4 linked regions of the Saccharomyces cerevisiae S288C genome follow. The protein of the gene in region 1 interacts with the protein of each later gene in a biochemical or structural test. Each region holds a gene or a part of one and is shown on either strand. Other genes may lie near its edges.

Region 1 (6,609 bases):
TGTGTGCTCTCCAGATAATTAACATGATTGGTCAAATACTCACACATTGCATCCCATTCTGGGGTATTAACTTTATCGGTAAAATACTTGAATTTAATAACTTGGCTTTTCGGAGTGGTACAGAAGGACCCCCTCATATCATTGAATAAAAACAATTCAAAATCCATTCCATAGCGATGCGGCTTCCTGAAGCCCCGTACTTGTTCGCCATTTGGACCGATAAATCTGTTTTCATGATAAAGAGTCCATGGATCTGCCTTGTAGAAACTGGCATGAATGAACATGATATCCAAATCAGAACCGTCATCATTAACCATCAAAGTTTTCAAGAAACCATTGTCCAAAGTATAATCTGGATCCAGTTTGGAAAATTCCTCAATGTTGGCTTTAACTTTCTGCTGCGCCTTTTGGTATTGCTTGTAATCTTGTTCAAAATCATGCTGGAGCAAGGCGAGACCCTTGTAATCATCTTTTTGATAGAAGAAACCATCAAATTCAAAGTTAGTCCTCACTTGATAGTATGGCATATTCAAGGCATGGGCAGCAGCGACGAAAGTGTCTTTGTCACCTTCACCGGCAGTGCCTTGAGAAATCATCTTATAATACCAGGTAGGCCCATAAACATTATAGTATAGCGCCAGTAATAGAGTGTTGAAATGGCGAATCTTATCAATCACCATCTGGCCTGATTCAGAGCTCAAGTCTGGCATCGTGCCGTCCAGATCATGTAAGGGAACATGTTTCAGGAAATGCTCCTGTCTCTCCTTTGGAGTGTAATCGTTTGAGTTACTAACAAATGGATCATAACGTGACACGGGGGAAATATCGTCACTAACAAAACGGACTCTTTTGCCGATGTTAATGCTAGATCCTATAATGTTGTAAAAGGCGGGAGGGGTGACACGTCTCCAAAAATCGGGCCACAATATCAGGCCAGTATCGTTGAAGGATGTAGTGTTAAAAGCAAGGTCAAGGTTTTTCACCGCATAGTTATCTGCGTCCAAGAAGATAATACGCTTGAAACTGGAAATTATCAACCCAAAGACTTTCAACTGGAAGTGCGTGAGTTTTAAATCGCTTAATGGCTTTGAAGGAACGATATCTGAGAAATAAATGCACTTACCATTGAATTTCGGCAACCAGTTCTTACAAAAATCATCCTCGCCTTCGTCCTGAGGCGGAATGATGACTTCAATAGGCAATGTAGTACCCGTGTCCCTCAACTTTTTGATCATCGTATACGCGAGCACAGAATACTTTCCACCTCCAATGGTGACAATGCCCTCAGAACCTGAGAAAAGTGCCTCTCTTTGTGGGATGGAAAAATTCAGTTTCCCTGATAAGGTGTCTGTAAACTTACTGTGCACTTCTCGTAGGCTTTCTTGTACTGTTTTATTCAAATTATAGCATTTACTCAAGCTCTCGTAACTTAAGTCACTATCGTGTCCAGAGTCGTGTGCAGCAACGTTATTTGCAAAGCTACACCCTTCCGCCCCATGCAACTTACTCAAGTCCGGAGACGAATCTGCCGGCTTGTTTTCCACGATGGCTTGTACCAGTGTTGTGTAAAAATTGTTTTTAAGGTTCGACCTTGTTAGAACCGGCAATCTAAGCTTTTTACCGTATAACCAACTAGAAGACACATCATTATGCACAGAACAAAAAAATAAAATTAGCACTACTGCGCTCACGATGACCTGCAGGATTTTTCTCTTCTTTAACCTAATCAGCATTGTAACCTGAACTATTAGTATATCCTCTTGTTGTGCTAGGAACCAGTCGTAAAATAAAAATTTCCAATAACCGTGAAAATGCTTTTTTCATATCTGCGTATATATAAAACACTTTAAAGCCGTGTTGATCCTTTAGTTGTTACACTTTTTTTTCCCCGCCGATGAGAAAGTGAAAAAAAAAATCCGCAAGAACGGGGAAAAAGATAAAAGAAGGCACTTATCTCTCTGAACTCTGCACCGAAACATGCATCTGTCGTCTATTCCGACTTGGCAACCAAAAGAAGCCCAAGAGCTAGTTGCACTTAAATCAGTAGAATCGTGAGATTGTTTATTATCTTACTTCTGTTAGAGTGCTTCGCTTTCCATGCATCAAACTATGGATTTGTGCTGATCTTGCAACCATCGTCCTCTAAGGAAAGAAATGTGGCACCTTTAAATAGGTTCCACCTCACAGATGCCAACATGTGGGAGATAGGGGGCTATTCGCAATTTATTAACGTCTCTAGTACTGGTAAGCCTTTCTAACATTCTTGTGGTCACGTGATGTGTATGTTTCTTTTTTTTATTCCTCCGGGTGATAACGACGCGAAAAATATTTTTTCATTTTTCTTTTAACCATCACAATTTGCGACGCGACGCGAAAAAAATGCAGAGAAGTAAAAGAATGCTGGATAAGAAATCAACAACACAGTTGAACATTGGCGTGCCCCTGTGTATTAAGTAAAGGTTGTCCAAGAGGCTCTTTTTTGTATGTATGCGTGTGTTAACTATCCTGCACATCATCTTGCGCAGTTAGTCCAATAAAAAAAGGATTACTACTGAACAGGTCTTACTATTTTTGATTGCGTAGTGCTGGGGAAAAGTAAACACACACAGGCGCACACGAGAACAGATGAGTTCTTTGGACGAGGATGAAGAGGACTTCGAAATGCTGGACACGGAGAACCTCCAGTTTATGGGGAAGAAGATGTTTGGCAAACAGGCCGGCGAAGACGAGAGTGATGATTTTGCTATAGGGGGTAGCACCCCGACCAATAAACTGAAATTTTATCCATATTCGAACAACAAATTGACAAGAAGTACGGGGACCTTGAACCTGTCATTAAGTAATACAGCTTTGTCAGAGGCTAACTCCAAATTTCTTGGGAAAATTGAAGAAGAGGAAGAAGAGGAGGAAGAAGGCAAGGATGAGGAAAGCGTGGATTCTCGTATTAAAAGGTGGTCTCCGTTCCATGAAAATGAAAGTGTTACTACTCCTATTACAAAAAGATCTGCGGAAAAAACGAACAGTCCTATTTCTCTCAAACAATGGAACCAGCGATGGTTTCCGAAAAATGATGCTCGCACTGAAAATACATCCTCATCCTCTTCATATAGCGTCGCTAAACCTAACCAATCAGCCTTTACGTCTTCGGGCCTCGTATCTAAAATGTCTATGGACACTTCGTTATACCCTGCGAAATTGAGGATACCAGAAACACCAGTGAAAAAATCACCCTTAGTGGAGGGAAGAGACCATAAGCATGTCCACCTTTCGAGTTCGAAAAATGCATCGTCTTCTCTAAGTGTTTCCCCTTTAAATTTTGTTGAAGACAATAATTTACAAGAAGACCTTTTATTTTCAGATTCTCCGTCTTCGAAAGCTTTACCTTCCATCCATGTACCAACCATAGACTCATCCCCACTGAGCGAGGCAAAATATCATGCACATGATCGTCACAATAACCAGACAAACATCCTGTCTCCCACTAATAGCTTGGTTACCAACAGCTCTCCACAAACATTGCATTCTAACAAGTTCAAAAAAATCAAAAGAGCAAGGAATTCGGTTATTTTGAAAAATAGAGAGCTAACAAACAGTTTACAACAATTCAAAGATGATTTATACGGCACGGACGAGAATTTCCCACCTCCAATCATAATATCAAGTCATCATTCAACTAGAAAGAACCCTCAACCTTATCAATTTCGTGGACGCTATGACAATGACACTGACGAAGAGATCTCCACTCCAACAAGACGAAAATCTATTATTGGGGCAACATCTCAAACACATAGAGAAAGCAGACCATTGTCACTCTCCTCTGCCATCGTGACAAACACAACAAGTGCAGAGACGCATTCCATATCTTCCACCGATTCTTCGCCGTTAAATTCCAAAAGGCGTCTAATCTCTTCAAATAAGTTATCAGCAAATCCAGATTCCCATCTTTTCGAAAAATTTACGAATGTGCATTCCATTGGTAAAGGCCAGTTTTCCACGGTCTACCAGGTTACGTTTGCCCAAACAAACAAAAAGTATGCAATCAAAGCCATTAAACCAAACAAATATAATTCCTTGAAACGCATATTACTGGAAATTAAAATACTAAACGAGGTAACAAACCAAATTACAATGGATCAAGAAGGGAAGGAATACATCATCGATTACATCAGTTCCTGGAAGTTTCAAAATTCATACTATATTATGACAGAATTGTGCGAAAATGGTAATTTGGATGGATTTTTACAAGAGCAAGTTATCGCAAAGAAAAAAAGGTTGGAAGATTGGAGAATTTGGAAAATCATCGTGGAATTAAGCCTGGCTTTACGATTCATCCATGATTCTTGTCACATTGTGCATCTGGACTTGAAACCCGCAAACGTCATGATCACATTTGAAGGTAACCTAAAACTAGGTGACTTTGGAATGGCTACTCATTTACCGTTGGAGGATAAAAGTTTTGAAAATGAAGGTGACAGAGAATATATTGCACCAGAAATCATTTCTGATTGTACGTACGATTACAAGGCAGATATTTTTTCCCTGGGTCTGATGATTGTTGAAATTGCAGCGAACGTTGTGTTACCTGACAATGGCAACGCATGGCATAAGTTGAGATCGGGTGATTTATCGGATGCAGGAAGATTAAGTTCCACAGATATTCATTCTGAATCATTATTTTCAGACATTACGAAAGTAGATACAAATGATTTATTTGATTTTGAAAGAGACAATATCAGTGGTAATAGTAACAACGCTGGCACCTCCACTGTTCATAACAATAGTAATATCAACAACCCTAATATGAATAATGGCAACGATAATAATAATGTCAATACTGCCGCTACCAAGAATCGTCTTATTTTGCATAAAAGTTCTAAAATTCCCGCATGGGTACCGAAATTTCTTATTGATGGTGAATCACTTGAGAGAATAGTACGATGGATGATAGAGCCCAATTATGAGAGAAGGCCCACGGCAAATCAAATCTTACAAACTGAGGAATGCCTGTATGTAGAAATGACACGCAATGCAGGTGCTATTATCCAGGAAGACGACTTTGGACCTAAGCCAAAATTTTTTATATGATAAATGGAACAAAAAACCTTGTTTTATTTACATACTTTTTTCCCACACGTGCTTATGGGCCGCATTGTATAAATAATCCAATAACGAAAAAGAGTGTAATTGCAGTCCGGTAGTAATACCATGTAAAACCTTAGATGAGTTTATTTTAAGTACAGCCGCTTCAAGCATTTTTATTTTTATTTTACAGATGTAGCAGATAACAACCGTTAAATTATATTATATATATATATATATATATATCAAATACGACGTATTACATATATATTGAGAATAAGGGAAGGATGGAAGACAAATGACAAAAAGTTTGAAGCATAAATATGTTCTTCGCTTAGATGTTCATCTTGGTTCTTCTCCAGTTTCTTCTCTTAGCGTTGTAACGGATAGTGTTGTTGGTTCTCAATCTGATCCATTGTGGCAATGGTCTGTTTTGCTTCTTAGCCTTAGCCATTTTTTGCTTGATTCTGAAAGACTTTTGAGCCTAATTAAAAGGGAAACATATCGTGCACATACGAAGTGTACAATTGTAAAAAATGTTAGTAACAATGTTCAAACTCATCAATGTGATGCATTCACGGATCCAAGGCAATACCACCTGACATAAACCACGCTGGACCACCAAAAGTTCTCAGAATAAGCAGTTTATGACCATATTTTAATCTGCGTAGTGGCGACTTTAGATTTCTGTTTCGGATAAGAAAAATTTTAGTATGGTTAACACTCCTAATCCTTTCCCTATATTTTACACATTGCTTCTATTTCAAATCCAAATTGTAGGTGGTAAGGTCATTTAGATGGATGTGGTTTATAATTTGCTATTGATCAGTTCAGCATCTAACTGGGATTTATAATATCTTTCTAACATACAGCCATGTTGATCTATCTGTGTTTATTTGCTTGTCTTTTTCGAATTTTCAGTATAATATGAATGTACCAAAAATTGTAGAAAGTATATTAAGTAGAAGTTTTAAAGTATCTATCAAGGCGAAGAATAATTCTCGGTTCTCGACAGCCCAAAAGCCGAATTGCGTTAGTTAGCCCACGCGCGAGCGTAAACGCAAGGACCATTGAGCTTGGAACAGAAGGAGTCGCTTCGGCGTCCCCGCCAAGGCGTACTGTTTGCCTCGGCCTGCCGCGTGGTGGTGGTAGTTTGAGCCGGAGCCTAAAACGCCCATAAGTTTTTTGAAAATCAAGCTAAAAAATGAAAAAAAAAAAAAGTTAAATTGGTACTGTGCGCCCATACATCACATACTTAAAAGTGTGTAATTCCTCTATACATCCACACCTCACTATTTGAAAAACTCAAATATTGAGGACGCGCGATTACCAGCGGCATGTTTACTCGCTGGAAGATGTGAAATAATTCTTGAATATGGGTTTGCAGTTAGTCAATTTCAATCTAAATAATCTTAATCGACTATTCAATTCTTAAATTGTAAGGTTTTTTAATGGCCTTTCAGTTCTAGTATTTTTTATAAAACAAGACCAACATACATATCCAAGATGACCAGATCTTCCGTTTTAGCT
Region 2 (4,853 bases), on another chromosome or scaffold:
TTCAGTCAAGGCCTGTTCGTAAAGATTCATGGTGTTCTCAAAATGTGCAGTAAGCTGAAACTTAGCAGGTTTTCCGTAAAATTCGACACATGCTTTGCACCAGCTGCCTAATTTTCGCCTCATAAACCATATTCTGTGGTAATTATCATAGTTCAGAACGGATATGTTGAGGAAATCATCTATCAGCCTTTGTATCTCAAAGTTCCCGTTGGAATCCTTCATAACAAGCAAGAAGGGGTTGTACTCCAACAATAAGGCAAGGGCGGAAACTGTTTTCGAAAATATAGTATCATTTTTCATGATATTGTTCCTTCTTTGATCTTTTAGGTTTCTTATGAGGGTGTTCAGGATCTTTAAACTCTTGGCGTACTCCTGAGAAGAAGATGGATCCGTGGGCACTTTTTTAATCTGCACCTTTGAATCCACCCCCGAGTTCAGGTCTTTTATTGCCAATATCAATTCGTCAAGATATTTGACGTGTGATTCCATGCAGTCTTGTGGGCCTTTACGCGGTGTATGTCGTTCTTGTTGTCCAGCCTCACTTTGTCTTCATTAATCATCTCTCTTCAAAATTGTCCGTCGGCGGGTATTTTTTTCTAGTTGACTAGTTTTGGAGCGTGCGTTCCATCTATTTGATTTATAAGGGAAAGAAGAAATTTATTTGAAGGATATTCACTATATAAATTTTATTTGTATTCTAATGCTTGTTGGTGAAAACTATGATCCATAGTTTTTTTTTTTTTTGTTTGCTTGTTTGTTTATTCTTTATTATGATAAGTACATAGTATGCTCCATATAGTTATGGAGCCTTGAAAAGGAATTCAATTTCAGTAATTAGAGTATATCAAAGCTAGGAGATTTGGGGTGGAACTTGCATATCGTTCGAAATCGATTGTGTTTGATGTTGCTGTTGTTGTTGTTGCTGCTGTTGCTGCTGTTGCTGTTGCTGTTGAGCAGCAGCGGTCGCTGCCCTCAGCTCGGCCTCGTAGTTCAGCGGCCTTTTGAATAGCAAAATGTGTGGTTCTGGCGCATGGCATTCATAATGTTCCCACCCCAAAGACTGTGTGATGCCGAGGCCTCTCCATTCGTCTTCTGTTAATATACGCAGGGTCCCCACTTCCGAATTGAAGTAATCAGATGGGATAACTTTTAGCATGGCCTTAGGTAACATCACATGCCTGTACTCATAGTTATCGTCTGAGTACCGCGGAGAATAGTGAATGGAATCTTGAAACTCCAACACGCGTGCTCTTTCTTGGTCAGTAAGCTTTCTGCCTTGGAAGGCGTGATAGTGATGGTACATAGTACTGTAAGACGAGAGTAAGTGCGTGTCAATCTAGTTGTATCCAACGCGGCCAGCAGTTCCAAGAACTTACGACAGAGTTGTAATGAATGCTACTGATGTCTGCTCTACTGCCATCCGCTGTCCTTTCATGCATAAAAGCTCCATTCTTTATTTATCTCATACCACGAGAAAAAAAAATCACCTGACATATTTTTATAACCCGCCTTTTAGACCCTAAAACAGATCTCAGGGCTCGAGTACTGTTTTATCTGAAAATTCTTCGAGCCCTCGTTTTGCACTGAGCTAAACCAAAAGAAAAATAAACAATCACAAATGGAACCCGAAACAGCACGCTGCGCAGTGTTTTTATATTTTTTTGAAACAAATGGCTTTATACAATGTGTATGTGTGATAGAAAAAATGGTATATTTCGAGTGACTTGTGATCCTATTCCCAAGCCCTATAGGAGCTATTTCAAATTGCGTGTGTGAAAGCGTGTGTGTGTGTGTGTGTGTGGAATTGTGCGGACGTTCCTCTTCTTTTATACATATAATTTTTATATATACAAAGGGTTCAGTTTGCATATGCATAGCAACGTATTTGTTGGTGTCAAACCAGGCTTTAATCATAAACAGCACAGCAAAAAGTCACGTTTCCTAGAAAATGTCTCTAGTCATTCACCAGAACTGCCTAGTAACTATGATTACGTTTTGCTTCCTATAACAACGCCAAGATATAAGGAAATAGTTGGGCAAGTTTTCAAAGATTTCCAAAGACAATCCATACAGAACTGGAAACCGCTTCAAATTCCTGAACCGCAGTTGCAGGATATCTGTATACCCCCGTTCAACGTCAAGAAGCTAGACAATGACGATACGCCGTCTTACATAGGGCTGTTATCCTCTTGGCTGGAGCTGGAGAGTCGCGATCCAAATGTAAGAGATCTTGGCTTAAAGGTCCTTCTAAACGAATGTAAGTACGCGAGGTTTGTTGGAATCAATAAGCTAATATTGGCGCCTCCACGGGACCTGTCCAACCTGCAATTGTATGGACAGATGATTTACAGGCTCCTGCAAAATCGCATCGTCTTTGCTGCGCCTGCGTTAACCATATCCATTTCTCTGCCACTTTACGAAGACAGCGATCCATTGGCCACTTGGGAACTGTGGAATACCGTGCGGAAACAATGCGAATATCATCCCTCTTTGACTATCTCTTTGGCTTTGCCAAGAACCAGGACTCCTTCGTATGTGCTGAATAGATGGTTAGCCGAACCCGTCTCGTGTCTTTTGGTATCTTCATCCATCTTTGCCAGTAATCAGTACGATTATCCCGTTTTACACAAGTTTAACCAGAATTTGATTTTAAAGTTCCAAAAGGTTAATGGAGATTCACAAATTTTGGGTAATGAATTATGCGTGATATTGCATGGGATGGAGAAATATGCCAATAATGTTAAGGGCGGAGAATCTGCCTATTTGGAATATATAAACTACTTATTGAAAAAGGGCGACAAAGTATTAAATTCCAATAGTAATCACCAATTTTTGCTCCAAGAGGACTCTCGGATAATGCCGCCTCTGAAACCTCATTCAGATAATTTATTAAATTCCACATATTTGACTTTTGAAAAAGATTTGGTGAAGTACGATCTTTACGAATCTGCCATATTAGAGGCGCTTCAAGATCTTGCTCCTCGAGCGAGTGCCAAGAGACCGTTGGTGATCCTAGTAGCCGGTGCGGGAAGAGGACCTTTAGTGGATCGAACTTTTAAGATAATATCAATGTTGTTTATGGATAGTAAGGTTTCTATAATTGCCATTGAAAAAAATCCACAGGCATATCTGTACTTGCAAAAAAGAAATTTCGACTGTTGGGATAATAGAGTGAAATTAATCAAGGAGGATATGACCAAATGGCAAATCAACGAGCCGTCGGAAAAGCGTATTCAGATAGATCTGTGCATAAGTGAACTGCTGGGTTCGTTCGGTTGCAATGAATTATCACCAGAATGTCTCTGGTCTATTGAAAAATATCATTCCCACAATGACACAATTTTCATACCGAGGTCATACTCTTCATACATAGCACCCATTTCGTCACCATTATTCTACCAAAAACTCTCACAAACAAATCGCTCTTTGGAGGCGCCCTGGATAGTCCATAGAGTGCCATACTGTATATTATCCTCAAGGGTAAATGAAGTGTGGCGGTTCGAGCATCCCATGGCCCAAAAAGATACTGTCCAAGACGAAGATGATTTTACAGTTGAATTTTCTCAAAGTTCATTAAATGAGTTCAAGATAAAGCACCGCGGCGAAATCCATGGCTTTATCGGATTCTTCTCGGCAAACTTATATAACAATATATTCTTGTCAACTTTGCCCAATGACAGCACAGTCCGTTTAAAATTTAGCGAAGAAACGTTGATGAATACCAGACGAGAAGAAAATCTAATCAAGAAATGTGACCATACACCAAATATGACCTCGTGGTCTCCAATTATCTTTCCTTTGAAGCAACCAATATCCTTTATAGATGACTCCGAACTTTCTGTGCTGATGTCTCGGATACACTCCGATACAGAACAAAAAGTTTGGTATGAATGGTCTTTGGAGAGTTTCATATACCTTATGTTGTCAAATTACACTTCGGCGGTAACTGCTGCAAGCATGACTATTCCGAGGTCTATAGTTACAGATGACACTAAAACTTTAGCCCATAATCGACATTATTCAGCGACTACCAATCAAAAGCTAGATAATCAAATTGATCTTGACCAAGACATTGAAAACGAAGAAGAACAGGGATTCCTATCCAATCTAGAAACTGGTTGGCAAAGCGTACAAGATATTCACGGACTCAGCGAAACCGCCAAACCGGACCATTTAGATTCTATCAATAAGCCTATGTTTGATCTCAAATCTACTAAAGCGCTTGAACCCTCTAACGAATTGCCAAGGCACGAAGACCTCGAGGAAGATGTTCCAGAAGTTCATGTCAGAGTCAAGACTAGTGTTTCCACGCTACATAATGTCTGTGGCAGAGCCTTTTCCCTGCCTCTGTGAATTCTGCATTGTATACTATATACTGCGGCAACAAATAACTATCCATACGTCCTGAGTACCACAAGTCAGCGTCATCGATCGAGCGGGGTGTCGGCGCCGCACCGTAAAACTACATGTATAAAAAAAGAACCCTTTTTTTGGAACTCTTCAATGGTAAATGGATCTCGACATGTTGCCTGCTTTAATTTATGTAATTCAGGAGTAAGGGTAGTGTTAGTTCACCATACTTCGTATTGATATTATCTCGGTTAGCTCCTTTGCTTTAAGATACTAATAGGTGGTAATTAAAAACAATAGTTTTCCTTCAGCCTTGTCCCCCCTAAGCTGCACTTACATTTTGCTTCCATAACTTTTGCCAAGCATGACAAAGGAACGTATGACCATCGACTACGAAAATGACGGTGATTTTGAGTACGATAAGAATAAATACAAGACAATAACCACTCGAATAAAGAGTATCGAACCTAGTGAGGGATGGTTGGAACCTTCTGGGTCAGTGG
Region 3 (4,415 bases), on another chromosome or scaffold:
TCAAAAAAAAATAAGTCAAATGACATGGTTAAAACAAGAACATTACCGAAATGTATGATTTTAGTGAATATTTTCTAAATTTTTGAGCTTTTAAACTTAGTATTGACGTGCAGCTTCCTGGCAGGCTTTTAGTTGCTGCAAGTAATAATCACATATCTGGAAGTTGCCGTTGTTTTCATCCAAACAACGTGTAAAGTTTCTCGCGTCTATTTCACAAGTTCTTCCCAACTGCTGGTCCGTTTGGGTTTGGCCGGAGGTGTTGGCCATATTTTGCTGTTGTTGCTCAACAGGAGCGGAATCAGACCCGGATCCGGAAAACATACCGGTAATACCTGCACCTAGGGTGTGTCCAATGGTGCTACCAACGGCAACACCTGCAGCAGTGGAGGCCATCTGCGCAAACATACCTGGCTGTCTCGTTTGGGCACCTGCAGCAGGAGGGTGTGAATAGGCATTTGGTTGTTGTTGTTGTTGTGGATGAACTGGAGCCGCCATGGTAGAAGCGGACCTTGTCTGAGTAGGTCTCGATCTCGATATAGGTCTTGATGATCCTCTTGAACGTGCCATATTTTAGAATTTTGTTGCTGTTGTTGCTTTTCTTGTTCTGTTCTTTGTTCGAAATATTAATCCTTTTTCTTAAAGGTTATAAACTGTACGAGTGATAGGCTTATATAGGTCGCGGAGATTGCGGTGGAGTGAAAAAGCGCTTTTCTTTTATACCTTTGTTCAAGGTGGCGTTTGCCGTATAAAAGCACACATGACATAACCGAACCTCGGAAAATGAAGTTGCACTGTTATTGCCTTCCAGATGTGTAGAATCATCACCATCTTCTGTGATAAATGAAGAGGGAATCGTACGAGGACGCCAGCATATTTTTACATCAAAATTTATGTTATTGTTGAAGGAACATTGAAAAGATAGGGCGGGCAAAATCTGCGATCAAGCCTATCCTCTTTCATCTCAGCTGTTCTAGATGCGTTACCCGGTGGTAACTTCACTGCATATTATTACTTTATATACCTTATTCTATATGTTGCCCGGGTAGGGCATTATGTAGCATCACCCGGAAGAACTTTTGGACTTTTCTCTGTCAAAAGATATTACCTAAAAGGGTCAAAACAAAACAAACCCAATAAAGAAAATCCAAAATATAGAACGAATAAATATCTCGAGGACCTGGGATGATCTTTGAATGTACATCCTTTGAAACAAGGCATATCTTGAACAGTTACTCTTGTGCTACTCAACTTTCGTACAATACATATAGAATCACTGAGAAAGTAAATCCAATTCAAGCGGCAGTTTCAAAGAACAATAAGCCTTTTGTGTCAAATTCTGATTCTGCTTTTTTTCCTATTTTTTCATCCTTCAATTTTGTGGCATATACTACATTAACTTTCAAGAAAACTTAAAAAAGAAAAGACAAAAAAGCTAAACTGCATAGTCAAGTTTGTATAATTGAGCTGAGTATTATTTTTTGTACACAAAAACATTGGCTTTCTTATATCTTCTCTATATATACTCTCTTTCATTCATCGATAAACGTTACATTTGTTATTCATAGAGAATAAAAATCACAGCCGTGGAGAAGAAAGAACAGAGTAAGATCAAGTCGAATAAAGATGTCGTTGGGTCCTCTTAAAGCTATCAATGATAAGCAATTGAATACCCGTTCCAAGTTAGTTCACACCCCAATAAAGGGAAATACCGCAGACCTCGTAGGAAAAGAAAATCACTTTAAACAAACAAAGAGACTAGATCCGAATAATGATCATCACCACCAGCCAGCTCAAAAAAAGAAAAGGGAAAAGTTATCAGCTTTGTGTAAAACACCACCTTCATTAATCAAAACAAGAGGAAAAGACTATCACCGAGGTCATTTTTTAGGTGAAGGTGGATTTGCTCGCTGTTTCCAAATTAAGGACGATTCAGGCGAAATTTTTGCTGCCAAAACAGTTGCTAAAGCCTCAATTAAATCAGAGAAGACAAGAAAAAAGTTGTTGTCGGAGATTCAAATTCATAAAAGTATGTCCCATCCAAATATCGTTCAGTTTATTGATTGTTTTGAGGATGATAGCAATGTCTATATCTTATTGGAGATATGCCCCAACGGTTCATTAATGGAATTACTAAAAAGAAGAAAAGTTTTAACAGAACCAGAAGTTAGATTTTTCACCACTCAAATATGTGGTGCAATTAAGTATATGCATTCAAGAAGAGTTATACATAGAGATTTAAAACTTGGTAACATCTTCTTCGATTCAAACTATAACTTAAAGATTGGTGACTTCGGTCTGGCAGCTGTGTTGGCGAATGAAAGTGAACGTAAATACACCATATGCGGAACACCTAATTACATCGCACCTGAAGTGTTGATGGGTAAGCATTCTGGACATTCATTTGAAGTAGATATTTGGTCATTAGGTGTTATGCTTTATGCTTTGTTGATTGGTAAGCCACCCTTCCAAGCAAGAGATGTAAACACTATTTATGAAAGAATCAAATGTCGTGATTTTTCGTTTCCAAGAGATAAACCAATCTCAGATGAAGGTAAGATTTTAATAAGAGACATTCTATCCTTAGATCCAATAGAAAGGCCCTCTTTGACTGAAATTATGGATTATGTATGGTTTAGGGGAACTTTCCCACCATCTATTCCTTCGACGGTCATGTCAGAAGCACCAAATTTTGAGGATATTCCTGAAGAGCAGTCACTGGTTAACTTCAAAGATTGCATGGAAAAATCTCTACTATTAGAAAGCATGAGCAGCGATAAAATTCAGCGTCAAAAGAGGGATTATATTTCTTCAATTAAATCTAGTATCGATAAACTAGAAGAGTACCACCAAAACAGACCATTTTTACCACATTCTTTATCCCCTGGCGGGACGAAACAGAAATATAAGGAGGTTGTTGATATAGAGGCACAAAGAAGATTAAACGATTTGGCTCGTGAAGCAAGGATACGTAGAGCACAACAGGCCGTTTTGAGAAAAGAATTAATAGCTACATCGACCAATGTCATTAAATCAGAAATCTCCTTGAGAATATTAGCCAGTGAGTGTCATCTTACTTTGAATGGCATTGTAGAAGCAGAAGCTCAGTATAAAATGGGAGGTCTTCCGAAATCAAGATTGCCTAAAATTAAACACCCAATGATAGTTACCAAGTGGGTCGACTACTCCAACAAACACGGATTCTCCTATCAGTTATCAACAGAGGATATTGGTGTCTTATTTAATAATGGCACCACAGTTCTCCGATTGGCAGATGCAGAAGAGTTTTGGTATATTAGTTATGACGATCGGGAAGGTTGGGTAGCAAGTCATTATTTATTGAGCGAAAAACCACGAGAGCTAAGTAGACATTTAGAAGTAGTTGATTTTTTTGCCAAGTACATGAAGGCAAATTTGAGCCGAGTATCTACGTTTGGCAGAGAAGAATATCATAAAGATGATGTATTTTTGAGAAGATACACAAGGTATAAACCATTTGTTATGTTTGAACTAAGTGATGGTACTTTCCAGTTCAATTTCAAAGATCATCATAAAATGGCAATATCCGACGGAGGTAAATTGGTGACCTACATTTCTCCCTCCCATGAAAGCACCACATATCCCTTAGTTGAAGTACTAAAATATGGCGAGATCCCAGGATATCCAGAAAGTAACTTTAGAGAGAAACTAACTTTGATAAAGGAAGGTTTGAAGCAGAAGTCCACAATTGTTACCGTAGATTAAACCAATATTAAAGTAGAAAGAAATACGAATACGAAATTACCAGTCCATTGATTGGGCCCCATTAATAACTAATACTAAATAAAATAAATGGTCTTGCCCTTAACGAAGATAATATATAATATTTACCCCTAGCATTAATACCCTTTTTCTAAAGGTACGAAATGAACAAACATCTTTCATGTTAGTTCTTCCTTTTCAATAGTTCTCATATAGCGTTTTTTTTCGCCTGAGCGGTTCTAGAGCTATATCTATTCAAAATTGCCATGCTTTTGTATTCATATTGTATGTATGGGATGATAACCTGTCGCTTCCTGAGATTTTCTCAAAAATATTGTTTTGAACCTAGATTTCTTTTTAATTATTCTTACAGGTGCCCATTGGAAGAGTGACAACATTAATTTTGAAAGCTATTCACTTGGTACATCCGCGGTTTACCAATTTTTAAGTTTTATCAAAAGCTGGCTTACTTGACATGTATCTACAAACTTAAGAATACTATTATGGGCAGTTATTTGCTAATTCTTTGTTACCTAGTTAAAATCCAAAAAATCCTGATTTATATTCATTTTATTACTGTATTCCTTTTTTCAAGGCGGGAGAAACTTATACCGCCATAGTAAAATAAATAGTGACTAAGGTAGCCAGAACTTCTCATCAACAAATTGCGAAATTAA
Region 4 (5,531 bases), on another chromosome or scaffold:
TGTGCTGACTTTTCTGCACGACGCTGTACATAGTTTCTCTTCCTCTGGGCAATTTAATTACCTCACGAGGTCTGCCATCTTTACCCATGACCTTATTACCAACCTCAATGTTTTCAATACATTCAATAGACCCATCCGCCATTAAAACATTGGTACCCTTGGCAAAGCACCCGACATAGATAATGGCGTCAGAATTGGAGTACTTGGACAAAGATTGAGAGATAACGGTCTTACCACAACCAAAAGCACCTGGAATACATGTCGTACCACCTTGAACACAAGGAAACAAAGCATCCAAAACTCTTTGACCTGTTAACAAAGGATAGTCAGCAGATAACTTTTCAGTAACTGGTCTTGGAACACGAACAGGCCAAGTATGGTAAAGAGTGAAATCAGACTTCTTGCCATCAAATTCAACTTCCAAAATCTTCTCATCCAAAGTGTACTCACCAGCTGGAGCAATCCAAGTGATTGTACCTCTTGATCTTGGTGGCAAAAGAATCTTATGGCTTGAAATTAGCGAATTCTCAAAAACGGAACCGTAAATATCACCACCGGAAATATGATCGCCGACTTGAAACTTTCCCGGAGTAAATTGCCACTTGATAGTCCTATCCAAAGCTGGAGTGTCAATACCTCTTGGGATATAAATCGATTGCGATTCTTCCTTAATGGCTTTCAAAGGTCTTTGAATACCATCGTAAATGGTTTCCATCAGACCAGGACCCAATTCTACCGACAGAGGCTTACCTGTTCTCAAAACAGGGTCACCGACCGTAAGGCCTGCAGTTTCTTCGTAAACTTGGATGGTGGCCTTGTCACCGTCAATTCTAATGACTTCACCCACCAGGTTATCGTGACCGACCTTGACCAATTCGTACATGGCACAACCAATCATATTTTCAGCAATGACGACCGGACCAGAGACAGAATAGATGGCACCATATTCAGATTCAGCATGGTCTTCTAATGAGATTCTTTTTATTTCCTTACGAGCGTTTTCAATTGCACCAGCCATTGTTTCTTTTCTTCTCTATTTGCTTTTTAACTCTAAGAATGAAAGAACGACTCCTGCGTTATAATCTTAGATATCTATATGCTTTGAGAAATGTGTTTGGTACTTTTTATTCTAATCAACGTAGTAATCAAAATGTTGCAACCTTATCGAAAGAGCCATTTCTTGTTTTCAGCTTTTAATCCAGTGTGAGACCCCTTTGAGCGGCCGTGGAAAAAGATGTGAAAAAAAAAAAAAAAAAAAAAAAAAAAAGAAAAAGGAAAAAGAAAAAGAACAATACAATAAGGTTATGCTAGGAATAAAAAGAACAATAGATAGGACTATAGAAGCAAAGTGGAGTCTAATCGTGGTGGCAAAAAAATATTCTCGCCCAATTGGAGTCTGTACAGCATTGAAATGCCGATGAAGAGTCTACATACTGCTGCTGTTGCCGCTGTTGTTGTTGCTGTTGTGTTTGCCGTACAGACATGGAGTGGTTCAAGTTTAAGGTATCTAGGTAGCTGACAGGAATAGGATTGGAATAAACATCTCGATAGATAGAGAGTTCTTCGCCGTCCCCAATTTCAATGACTTTTCTTTCTGCTGGGTTTTGTTTTGTTCGAGTAGGAGCTTCGTACGGGAAAAGCACCGGTGTTTGCACTTGATGTTCGCTGTTCCTGGTTGACATATCATTTGGGCTTAGGTGAAATGAGAAGAGATCTTCTTCGAAAAGCTGCAACTCTTGGTCATCTTGACTCGCACTGTGTTCGGTTCGTACACCTTCTTCCTCGTCACGAAAAAACATTTTGGAATTGCGTTTCCACCAATCGGTAAACGATTCTACAATGGAACGCACGGATTCATCTCTCTTTGTTGAACCAAATGGATCCGATCTTCTCGAGTTGAATTGTGCTGTGCTAAGCTGATATGGATGCGTGCCATTAATAGCTTCAATTGCGCCACGATGTGAAGATGCAGGTGGCCTCCATTTTACAAGTACGTCCTCCATTTTTCCCACAAATACATTTTCTTCTCTTCTTCTTCTGCTTTTTTGTTTCGAAATCACGAGTTGCCTCACAGAGGGGAACTCACTTCTTGGTAAGAATCTGTTTTGAGCCTCCGCTTCAGGGCTGTAGGATGGGAAAGTTATGTCGCCCCCATCTAAACCATCTTCTATACTTGTGTTACACTGCATATTTTTCTAATATTTCTTGGCTATCTGTAAGCAAATCTACATCCAGGAATAGAGTCCACAAGTATATTCCATATAAAAGCACAGAACTACGAAGTGTCGCAAATTAGTTGTTTTTTTGGGAACTTGAACCCATACACCGCACCAAATTATTACAATATTTTGTGACACAGGACAGAATATTAATAAAAGAAGCGAAACTCTATTCTCCTAAAACTTCTTCTTGCGGAATTATGTATCAATTAATGCTAAGATTAATCCAAAAGCTTATACGACAACAATAGTCGTTGTGCACTTTGAAATACAATCGTGTATTACCCTGACATGACCGGGTAATCTAGAAGAGGTTATTATTTTCTTTTCCGCTGAATTGTGGAAAAGAGTCGTGGAAAGTTTCAAAGGGACATCCCCATTTTATAAAACCAATTGAAGGGCTGTAACTAGAGCAAACTTCTTAAGGTACCAGCCCGCTGCAAAACAGTGTTCGAACAAGAACACGCAAACCCGTTTACTTCTTGTCCTACCTGCTCTCTTTCCTTTCCGGTTATTGTTCCTGTTACGTCTTTTTTTGAATTTTATATTATTGGCACTTCTGTATAACTGGCTTTCATTCGAAAAAAATGGATATGGAAATTGATGACCCTATGCATGGTTCAGATGAAGATCAATTATCACCGACTCTCGACGAAGACATGAATAGTGATGACGGCAAAAATAATACGAAGGCGCGTTCTAATGACGAAGACACAGATGAAGAGTTGGAAGATTTTAATTTTAAACCGGGGTCCTCGGGTATAGCAGATCATAAATCCTCCAAACCACTAAAACTGACCAATACAAATATAAATCAGCTTGACCAATGGATTGAGCATTTGAGTAAATGCGAGCCACTATCAGAAGACGATGTAGCACGACTATGTAAAATGGCGGTGGACGTGTTGCAGTTCGAGGAGAATGTTAAACCAATTAACGTGCCTGTTACCATTTGTGGTGACGTACACGGTCAATTCCATGACTTGTTAGAACTTTTCAAGATTGGTGGTCCTTGTCCTGACACCAATTACCTTTTCATGGGTGATTACGTGGATAGAGGATATTATTCTGTTGAGACCGTATCTTACCTAGTTGCCATGAAAGTCAGATATCCACATAGAATTACTATACTTAGGGGCAATCACGAGTCTAGGCAGATTACCCAAGTATATGGGTTTTATGACGAATGTTTGAGAAAGTACGGCAGTGCGAACGTGTGGAAAATGTTTACCGATCTATTCGATTATTTCCCCGTTACTGCCTTGGTGGATAATAAAATCTTCTGTTTGCATGGAGGTCTCTCACCCATGATAGAGACAATAGATCAAGTTAGAGATTTAAATAGAATACAGGAAGTGCCTCACGAAGGTCCAATGTGTGACCTTCTATGGTCCGATCCTGATGATAGAGGCGGATGGGGAATCAGTCCGAGAGGTGCAGGCTTCACTTTTGGTCAAGACATCAGTGAGCAATTCAATCACACTAATGACCTATCACTAATAGCAAGAGCTCACCAATTGGTAATGGAAGGATATTCTTGGTCTCACCAGCAAAATGTTGTCACCATTTTCAGTGCTCCAAATTATTGTTATAGATGTGGTAACCAGGCCGCTATTATGGAGGTGGATGAAAACCATAATAGGCAATTCTTACAATACGATCCATCTGTGAGACCCGGTGAACCAACCGTCACCAGGAAGACACCGGATTATTTCTTATAATATATATCTATTACACCTTTATCCTTACTACGCTATTTCATTCCAACATACATTTATTTTTTTTTTTTTTTTAATATATATTTAGTTACTTTTTCCCTCTAATTTTTGATAATAACAACTTATATACAAACATACAAACTATTTTTTCGTTTTCAAATACTTATTTTTTCGAACACAAAGTGAAAACAACTTTTTCTCATATATTACTGTTCTCATACTAGAATTTCTATAAACCGTTACGTAATTTTTTCGCTATGTATAGTTCACTCCTCACGCTAAATGTTTAATTTATCAAATTTCATCTCTACCGAATCAGTATCCCTAGATGACGGCGAACCCTCAACACTAGCCCTACGAATTCCCTCATTCTTATTACTGTTACTGTCATCACTACGTTTCGGAATCGCACCAGAATATGAATTTTTTCCTTGAAAATGGTGGTACTTATTTGCTGAGGATCTTGTGTAATTGTTAGAATTATAGCTTGGTGTATTGCTATATGGCCCGCTGTGATACTGAGTGTTATATTGGTATTGATATTGATATTGGTATGGGGGATACATAGGGATTGGGGTGCCAAACGAACAGGACCCTTGGGGATTCATATTGTACATGTAAGGGTTCATGAAGACTGTGTTATTGCCCATTACCATGGGTGAAGGTGCAGGACCGGGGGCAGGACCAGCGGGGTTATACATTAGAGGGTAGGTTGGCAGACTATTGCCACCCATTTGGGGAGGAGGATACACAAGATATGGCGAAGAATATCCCGATTGGTAACCGCCGTTTTCTTTATTCCGACGACTTTGGCCTCTATAGGCATCTTTGTAATTGTTTGTTCCTCTTCTTCTTCCTCCTCTTCCTCTTCGACTATCATAAAATTGTTGTTGAGGTTTGTTTACTTGTATCGTCGTCACAGATGAATTGAATGGTGATGAAGAGCTAACTGAACCGTTACTAGTTTGTGTGTTAGAGTCATCTCCGTTCAACCAATCACTCCATTCATTGTCACTATCACTACTACCGCTACTGTTGGTTGACTTTACATCGTCTTCACTCTTGTTGAGCTTATCAAAAATTTCTTGTTTACGTTGTTCATAAAGTCTTTCCTTCTCAATTCTTTCTTGTTCCAAATCAGTACTAGATTTATCATCGATTTCGATTTTTTGGTCCTTATTTGAATTGGCTGTCAAATTGCTATTTGGTGTACGTGTATTGCCATCGATTTTATAATCGCACTCGTTACCTACCTCTTTCCGCTTTAAGATTCGAAATATTCTGTTATTGTTCGATTTTTCAATACTCTCACTTGAGGAAGCACACTCTTCCGGTTTTTTGTTCAGCTGCAACTCTTGTAAGAGTGGCTTTCCTTCAATCTTTTGGAAATTCTCACCTTTGAAAAGAATCACACAACTATCTTGAGTTCTTGCCAAAACATGGTTCAAGTTGTGGTACTCAGCTATTTGGTGCGATAGAAGCCTATAATATGAATTCATCGGTCTTAGCTGAAATGATTCTGTGTTTGAGTTTATGAATGACACTATGGAATTTTCCAGCTCTATTATAAAGATACGGTCCTGTGGTTTCTGGA

What was found.
Region 2: the proteins of SWE1 (region 1) and HSL7 form a complex in vitro, tested with the Saccharomyces cerevisiae proteins (2 studies listed by BioGRID).
Region 3: of the proteins of SWE1 (region 1) and CDC5, one has a biochemical effect on the other in vitro, tested with the Saccharomyces cerevisiae proteins (2 studies listed by BioGRID).
Region 4: of the proteins of SWE1 (region 1) and PPH22, one has a biochemical effect on the other in vitro, tested with the Saccharomyces cerevisiae proteins (2 studies listed by BioGRID, with this or other methods).

What each region holds. Positions count from the first base shown.
Region 1 is NC_001142.9:75,279-81,887, reverse strand, and holds SWE1 (tyrosine protein kinase SWE1), read left to right. Parts: upstream 1-2,625; coding exon 2,626-5,085; downstream 5,086-6,609. Other genes in the region: alpha-1,2-mannosyltransferase MNN5, read right to left, coding at 1-1,733; 60S ribosomal protein eL39 RPL39, read right to left, coding at 5,414-5,563, 5,950-5,955; 40S ribosomal protein uS8 RPS22A, read left to right, coding at 6,586-6,609. UniProt on the Saccharomyces cerevisiae protein: Protein kinase that acts as a negative regulator of entry into mitosis (G2 to M transition) by phosphorylating and inhibiting the mitosis-promoting cyclin B-bound CDC28 at 'Tyr-19'.
Region 2 is NC_001134.8:501,304-506,156, reverse strand, and holds HSL7 (protein arginine N-methyltransferase), read left to right. Parts: upstream 1-1,869; coding exon 1,870-4,353; downstream 4,354-4,853. Other genes in the region: protein kinase MEC1, read right to left, coding at 1-489; cyclin-dependent protein kinase regulatory subunit CKS1, read right to left, coding at 851-1,303; AGP2 (Agp2p), read left to right, coding at 4,715-4,853.
Region 3 is NC_001145.3:268,345-272,759, reverse strand, and holds CDC5 (polo kinase CDC5), read left to right. Parts: upstream 1-1,623; coding exon 1,624-3,741; downstream 3,742-4,415. Other genes in the region: MIX17 (Mix17p), read right to left, coding at 97-567; YMR001C-A (uncharacterized protein), read left to right, coding at 1,183-1,413. UniProt on the Saccharomyces cerevisiae protein: Protein kinase required for the cell cycle where it is involved in mitotic exit. A component of the fear (CDC14 early anaphase release) network which promotes CDC14 release from the nucleolus during early anaphase. Phosphorylates SCC1/MCD1 and NET1.
Region 4 is NC_001136.10:122,274-127,804, reverse strand, and holds PPH22 (phosphoprotein phosphatase 2A catalytic subunit PPH22), read left to right. Parts: upstream 1-2,806; coding exon 2,807-3,940; downstream 3,941-5,531. Other genes in the region: VMA1 (H(+)-transporting V1 sector ATPase subunit A), read right to left, coding at 1-1,018; YDL186W (uncharacterized protein), read right to left, coding at 1,356-2,189; RBS1 (Rbs1p), read right to left, coding at 4,216-5,531. UniProt on the Saccharomyces cerevisiae protein: Exact function not known, phosphatase 2A performs an essential cellular function.